2 linked regions of the Arabidopsis thaliana genome follow. The protein of the gene in region 1 interacts with the protein of each later gene in a pairwise test. Each region holds a gene or a part of one and is shown on either strand. Other genes may lie near its edges.

Region 1 (3,756 bases):
AATAATAATATTCTATCTTTTGCCGTTGTCTACAGTGACACACCAAATATAGTGATATACTGTTGAAAAAAAAGGAATCACACTATAATAGTGTAAATTATACAGTTTGGTTGGAGAGAAAAAGTTAACATTCCCACGCTATTTTAAAGTTTTGCAGTTCCCTTGGAGATGGCCTTATAGGTTGAGTAATGTTTTTTGAAATAACCGGAGCACTACTCAACTTCTAGTAAGTACCTTCTAAATATGTAAAAACTAAGGATTCATCTTTCCATCATAAGAAATAAAAGATATAGAGCAATTTGCTTATTGAAAGATTTTGTTTCAAAGCTTATGATTGCTAACTATTAGTTTTATTGCGTATATTTAATATCGGTTGCCAAAATTTCGTTATTGGCATGAACATTTTCTTGAGCCAAGAGTCGAAGGGAGTTTTAAAAACATGCAACCTTCAAAATAACGCTCCATTGTCTAGAAGAATATGATTACTATCTTCCATTATTTACAGTTGTAGTGGTCCTGGCTTGGTCACTTAAGAGCATCTTAAATTAGGCTAAAATGTGTCCCCCAAAGGACAACAAACTTCTCCTTGGCACACGCGTGAAGTCATCTTCTATTACTACTTTCTTTACCATATTTATCACCAAGATCCTCTTTGTCTCCACCAACCAACATTAATAACTGTTCTTATAAATAAATAATTATTTAAACAAATCAAAAGTTGGTTCGATATATCATAGAGAAAGCTTCGTAAAGATTTTAACTTTATGAGCTTTGCGGTGTAATACGTATATGATACTCCGCAAAAGCTTTTGACTCGCATATAAAATGCTTCATGGACCTCTTTCGCTATATTGGGTCACCGGTCTGCGTCATTTTAGCTGGAAAGTTCTTCGCTTATGGGTTCAAAACTTCAAATGCTCATATAATATAAAGTACATAAAAAAGTGAAACTGTATAACAGTCTTTTATCAAATCAAAGTTATCGCTTTGTTGAATAATATCTGTAGTTTAGGCAAAATCTTTTGGCAATATGAGTTAAATATGTGAAGAAAAACTAGATTAGATATGCTTTAACAAAGAAAAACTAGATTAGATTAAATGGAGAGAACACTAAATGCAACTTCTCCTAAACTATTACTACCACTGCCACTTTGTTTTTAATATTCACACCCACACGCATGCACACATAGCTTTGACCCTTTGACCACTCAGTTTACGATTTTACCCCTAATGTAGTAATTTCGCATTATTATTTTATTTTTACCTTTCATATCTTAACCGGATGTTTCAGAGTTAGTCAAGGTTGTCTATTTGGTGTTATTTTAAAGTTACTCTAAAACACTATTTTTCTGTTATCTTTCAAAAAGACCAATTAAAAAATAAAAATTATAAACATTCCTACACCATTCTAAAACATTCTTAAAATTTTCATACAACTGATTTTGCAAGCTTTCCAAAATGTTTTCTTAACCGATTGCGGATATGATATCGTACATAATTGTATGGTTTATTGTTCTTCTAAATACTACAGAAGTTAGAAGTGTCCATCGTAAATAAGAAAAAAATATTGTTAAAATATACATATTAATTTTGTAATTATTATCTATATAGTTTTGGTCATTTGGAAAGTGAGATTTGAATGTACTACTAATTGAACAAAAATACTGTTTTAACGTTATCAGAATGTATAAACGTTAGATATTTAATGAAAAAAAAAAACAAAGTGAAAAAGCGAGAGAGAAAGAGAAACATTGGATCCACAACAAGTAAAAACACTTATTATTGTTGAAGAAAGAAGTTTAACGTTTTTCAATGATTCACCACTGTGACTGTGTCTGTGTCTTCCCCACTACGTGCGCTATATATAAATTTTTCTCCTTTCATTTTTTTCCGCAGATTCCTTTCTCCTCGAGAACAAAAAAAACTTCTTTTTTTTTCTCTTTCTCTCTTGGCTTCTCTTTAGAAAGTGACTCACCAGAAAAAAAAAAGGGTTTTTGCTTTTCGGGTTTAGCTAAGAAAAATCTTTCAATCTTCCTTAAATCTTTCAAAACCCCAAAATGGGACCTCGTTGCTCTAAGCTCTCTCTCTGTTGGTGGCCGACCCATCTCAAATCAACTCACAACGAAGCTTCTGATCTAGGTGATAACAACTTCTTCTTCACTTAAAGTCTCTACCTTTCACACTCTCTCTGCTAACAAAGTTTGAGTTTTTTGTTTTTTGTTCTGATAGATAACGGAACGGACGATTTGCCGTCGTTTACGGAGTTTAGTTTCGACCAACTACGAGCTGCTACTTGTGGATTCTCTACAGACAGTATTGTCTCCGAACATGGTGTTAAAGCTCCTAATGTTGTGTATAAAGGCAGACTTGAAGATGACCGATGGATCGCTGTTAAACGATTCAATAGATCCGCTTGGCCTGATACTCGTCAATTTCTTGTACGAACTCTCATAAATTTGATTCCTTTACTCATTTCCGTTGATGGGTTCTCGTACAGTTCAATTTAAAACCCCTGTTGCATTTGGTGGTGTTTACTGTTTGGTTTGATTGATCTTTAGGAAGAAGCAAAAGCTGTGGGGCAGTTGAGGAATGAGAGGTTGGCGAATTTGATTGGATTCTGTTGTGAAGGAGACGAGAGATTGCTCGTTGCTGAGTTTATGCCTTTTGAAACTCTCTCGAAGCATCTCTTTCACTGTAAGGCTTCTCATCATCTTTAAGAGATTGGCAACTGTTTACTTTTTTGGTTTGATTCTCTACGCCTTTTAGTTTTTAGTTCTAACACATTGTTTAGGAGATTTTGTTGGTAATTTCTGTTTTTGGTTCTATCTTGTTGAACAAAAGATTAACACTTTAAATGCAAATGATTGGTGGAACTTAATAATTTGTGATGATATGTAGGGGATAGTCAGCCAATGAAGTGGTCTATGAGGTTGAGAGTGGCTTTGTATCTTGCACAAGCACTTGAGTATTGTAGCAGCAAAGGTCGCGCCTTGTACCACGATCTTAATGCTTACAGGATCTTGTTTGACCAGGTCCATCTCGAGCTTACTATTAACTCTCTTATCTCTTTCTTGCTCTTGATTGGATTTATGTTTCACTTTTCGTATAAGTTACTGTTCTGGGATTCTTATAATGTTTTTCTGGAAAACTTGATTACAGGATGGTAACCCGAGATTATCTTGCTTTGGTCTTATGAAGAATAGTAGGGATGGGAAGAGTTACAGTACAAATTTGGCTTTCACACCTCCTGAATACCTAAGAACAGGTCAGTTACTGATTTGAGATGCAATGGCGTCAAGTTATGTGTTTGCTGTTTGACAAAGTTATGATATTGATCTGATATATGGATGTGCGTTTATTAATCTCTTAAGGGAGAGTGATTCCGGAGAGTGTGGTCTACAGCTTCGGAACGCTGTTGCTAGATCTTCTCAGCGGCAAACACATACCACCAAGCCATGTAAGTGCACCAAACATGGCTCAACTTCTCTTGGGAGGAAGTTCTTGATCTTTTAGCTTCTTCTCCTTATCCCAGAAAATGTTGATAAAGTTCTGTATGCTCTACCATTGTTCTGCAGGCGCTTGATCTGATTCGTGGGAAGAATTTCCTGATGCTGATGGACTCGTGTCTAGATGGCCATTTCTCAAACGATGATGGAACCGATTTGGTTCGTTTAGCTTCCCGTTGTTTGCAGTATGAAGCTCGTGAAAGGCCAAATGTGAAATCTCTCGTGTCCTCACTCGCTCCTCTTCAGAAAG
Region 2 (3,756 bases), on another chromosome or scaffold:
GACTTATGATTTACTATATTAGACAACACAGAAAAAAATTTGATTCATACTTTGATAATCCAGAGAACAAGCCTTCTTCTCCTTTCTCATCATAGTGAACCATTGAGCTTTTCCCATGCATAACACCAAATGGTGACCGCACAATCTTTCCTAATCAATGTTCAAACAAAATTGCATTTAAGTTGTGGATACATAATAAAGAACAAATCCATGTTATAGAACACTGATACGGAGAAATAAGATGTCTTGTTTATATACAACTAACCTCCAAATGCTTCTCCTATACACTGCAAACCCATACATACTCCAAATAAAGGAACAAGTGGTCCGAGTTCCAAAACAGTTTGCAAGGAAATCCCAGAGTCTTGAGGGGTACCTATAAAATTTAAGAAAGGTGTTATCTTCTTCTCGGGCACTTCAAAAAGATACACCACATAATCAGAAAATAAATTTCAGAGGCCAGAATATTTACCAGGCCCTGGAGAAATCAACACCCCTCTTGGATTTTTTCTGCAAGAAGGAGAGCATAATAAAGGAATCAACACCAATTGACTAGCTAGATTACGTTTTAAACAGAATGCATATAGTTTCTTCTCACTTTTTCAGCTCTTCTACTGTAAGTTCATCATTGCGGTAAACTTCAAAATGGCATCCTAGCTCTCCCATATACTGTAGAAATAGATAACAATTCTCAAAATTTTGTTTATACTAAAGCAGAAGAAACCATATGAAGAGAACGATCACAATAAATACTAGAAGTGAGACATGATCAAATTGTATATTAGAGACCTATTATGCATTATGTGAGATACTCAGAGCAGCCAAAATTTCATGATAAACCGAGATACTCCAACAACGAATAAACAATCTAAAGTAAAAAAATAACAACTCACAAAATCACCAATTCAAACTTTGAACATGATTAAAGATACTACTCAAAAGACCAGACTTTAGGCAGCAAAGAAGTGATGTATTAGCTTTTGCTTGATCAACAGTTACTCCTTACAACGCCAAACAAGAAACGAAGAGCTTTCGACAATAAGATTTGATGGTACAACATAACGACTCTGATCACATACATAAACAAGAGAGAAACTACATTACATAGTCTTATCTATTAGCATGTCGAAACTAGATTGGATTGTGAAATAATGAGATTTTAACATTCAATCACCATGCATACTTGAATAAACATTTCTAACAAAATCAAGGACTTTGCAAATTCAGCTGCTTTTACACCAAAACAGATTCAAAAACATTCCACATCAAAAATCTAACAAGCGTAGAGTGAAGATTTGAGAATGTGTTCGAAATGAAACCTGGCAGAGATTGTATGTGAAGCTGTCGTAATTATCAATCACGATGATTGGACCATGCTGCTTAGAGGAATTGACAACAACGGAAGGTATCGAATTCGATTCCGCCATTTCAATCGAAGCTTTCGCAAAGACATCTCTACGACTCTTCCCCAAAACGGAAACTCCTGTATCACAGAGGAAACAAAAAAACTGATAAAAATCGAAACTTTAGATTGGAATAACGCCTCTATCTCCGTATCTCGACACCGGAGACTTACTTGTGGGATTCGTAAGAGGGTTAACGAGAGAAGGGTTTAGGCGGCGAGTGGTGGAGCCAGACTTGGGTTGAAGAAGACAGGATTTGTACAATGTAGAAGCCGCCATTGTCTGAGAAGCAAAGATTCCTGATTTAATTCCAAAAGAGAGGAGTTTATAAAAAGCTCTGAGAGAGAGAGATTGGAAGAACTTGACAGGTGAAACGGTGCGTTTTGTGGAACATGAACCACGTGCTTAATCAGTAGTAGGTGAGTGGATTAATTAATTTGATTAGAAACCTCTTTTGTTTGGTCAAAGTCAAACTCATACTTGTCTAAAATGGCGTTTGGAATTAGTCCATTCGCAGGACTAGTCAATTCGTAAATGATAAAACCATCACGTTACTCTTGTCCTAAAATAAATAAAAATAATGTAATAGGGCCAGTCTTGTTTTAGCCCGAAACACTTTAACGGGCCCGGACCGGACCTTAAATTTAAGCCCTATATAACATCCCTACATGCTACACGTGCCTAACCTAAGTCTCTAGATAGGTTGGTAAAAATAAATGAACAAAATTAGGAAGTTAGTTTTCATTTCTTAAAAAGTATGAACAAATATAGGAAGTTATTTCTTAATTTAGATTCATGTATTTACGTATCCTTTACCATTTTTGGTATATTTTTCTCAATTCCGGTTGATGTGTCTTTATTGGTTTGGTTTGAATTGAAAAAGACACCAATGTTGAAGTTTTTTTTTTGCTCCCATTGAATGTAGCTCCAACTTTTAATATGAATGTTCTTATATTAGGCGGTCTATGGCCAAACGTATTTATTAAATTGATAAAGTATTGTACGAACCTCCAATTTTTTTGGTATGTGTTTGTTTGGTCCCATATAATATACTTAATGGATCGAACAAAAGAATTGTATTTACGTCATGGTTTAGCTAAATATGCTGTGATACATTCAATGACGAAGATGGCTCGTACAGAAAGTTTCCAACATTCTGCATGACTTCATGTATTCTGAGTTTGCCTAATTTACTTGATTTTTTTTTAGCCACTCATAGTAATCATATTTATTTATATGTAGAATTTATGTGCTTTAACTGATTTTCATGTGAATTACAATGGGAAATAAAAATCCGAGTCTAACATTTTCGATGTGTCCCACTTATGCAAACTATTGCCGGAGACATCATAAAAAACGACACTCAATTCTGATCTAGTGATCTTAACTGACATGAAACCTTGTCCATCGTAGAAAAATTTCATATCCTCTGGTGTTGTCCAATTGTAATAGCCTCTCCATGCCTTTGACCCACCACCACTCGTTAGAAACTGAATTGGGCTGCAAAATTATAATAAAATGTTAAATCCACAACTTTATCTCTTTTGTTATCCGCTTCATCCAAACACAGGTTTGGTTTATACTCCATATAACTATTAATCGTTGTTACCTTTGTGATGTGCTTATATGTTGCAAGCAATGATCATGACCGTTCATATAGAGATCAACTTTATTCGCCTGAAAAATCCAAGAATCTAATATTATAATAGTGTGTTTTTTTCTTTTTCAAACGAATTACTACTTTTAGTATTTCAAAAAAAAAAAATTGTTAATGGAAAATATCAACTCCCTTGCGTTTGTCTTTTGCAAAAATAGTTTATGAACAAGTGGAAATGTTAACTTTTAGAAATATACATACTTCGAAAAGAAATATTCACATATAAACATAAAAAACGCAAAAGTTAGTTTAAGAAAAAAAAACACTTTAAATTGCATTTGAAATAATCGAAACATCTCTTAAAATAAGAGTAATTAAGAAGAAAATGAACCTCAAGGATGGGTAAGAGGAGAGATTCAAGCTCTTTGGTATTCCCATGAATGGAAGCACTCTTTATAGCATGGTGACCCACCACAATTTTCCATTTTGCACTTGATTCTCTTAGACCCATCTCCAACTCCTACACATTATAAATACTAATTAGTATTTGGGATCGCCATCATGATAATTCCTACAACTGATGGTAATGACTTAATTATGTGTTTTCAAGTACCGTTAAGATGGTCTGAAGGTAGGATTTTCGCGGTGATACGCCGCTCCAGTCGTAAGTTTGGTCTTGTGGACTGAGGAAATAAGCATCTACAAAAGGAGTTGTGTCGACAAAGAAGAGCTCTGCGATCTCTGCCCGAATATTGA

What was found.
Region 2: the proteins of BSK5 (region 1) and ASB1 interact in a two-hybrid assay, tested with the Arabidopsis thaliana proteins (one large-scale study listed by BioGRID).

Annotation. Positions count from the first base shown.
Region 1 is NC_003076.8:23,821,401-23,825,156, reverse strand, and holds the start of BSK5 (kinase with tetratricopeptide repeat domain-containing protein), read left to right. Parts: upstream 1-1,839; 5' UTR 1,840-2,057; coding exon 2,058-2,139; exon of another isoform or gene 2,140-2,229; coding exon 2,230-2,438; intron 2,439-2,558; coding exon 2,559-2,694; intron 2,695-2,898; coding exon 2,899-3,032; intron 3,033-3,159; coding exon 3,160-3,265; intron 3,266-3,371; coding exon 3,372-3,457; intron 3,458-3,575; coding exon 3,576-3,756.
Region 2 is NC_003070.9:8,837,797-8,841,552, forward strand, and holds the start of ASB1 (anthranilate synthase beta subunit 1), read right to left. Parts: upstream 1,754-3,756; 5' UTR 1,683-1,753; coding exon 1,577-1,682; intron 1,484-1,576; coding exon 1,320-1,483; exon of another isoform or gene 709-1,319; coding exon 599-708; intron 511-598; coding exon 473-510; intron 377-472; coding exon 266-376; intron 151-265; coding exon 51-150; intron 1-50. Other genes in the region: AT1G25230 (Calcineurin-like metallo-phosphoesterase superfamily protein), read right to left, coding at 2,678-2,903, 3,013-3,080, 3,392-3,520, 3,614-3,741. UniProt on the Arabidopsis thaliana protein: Part of a heterotetrameric complex that catalyzes the two-step biosynthesis of anthranilate, an intermediate in the biosynthesis of L-tryptophan.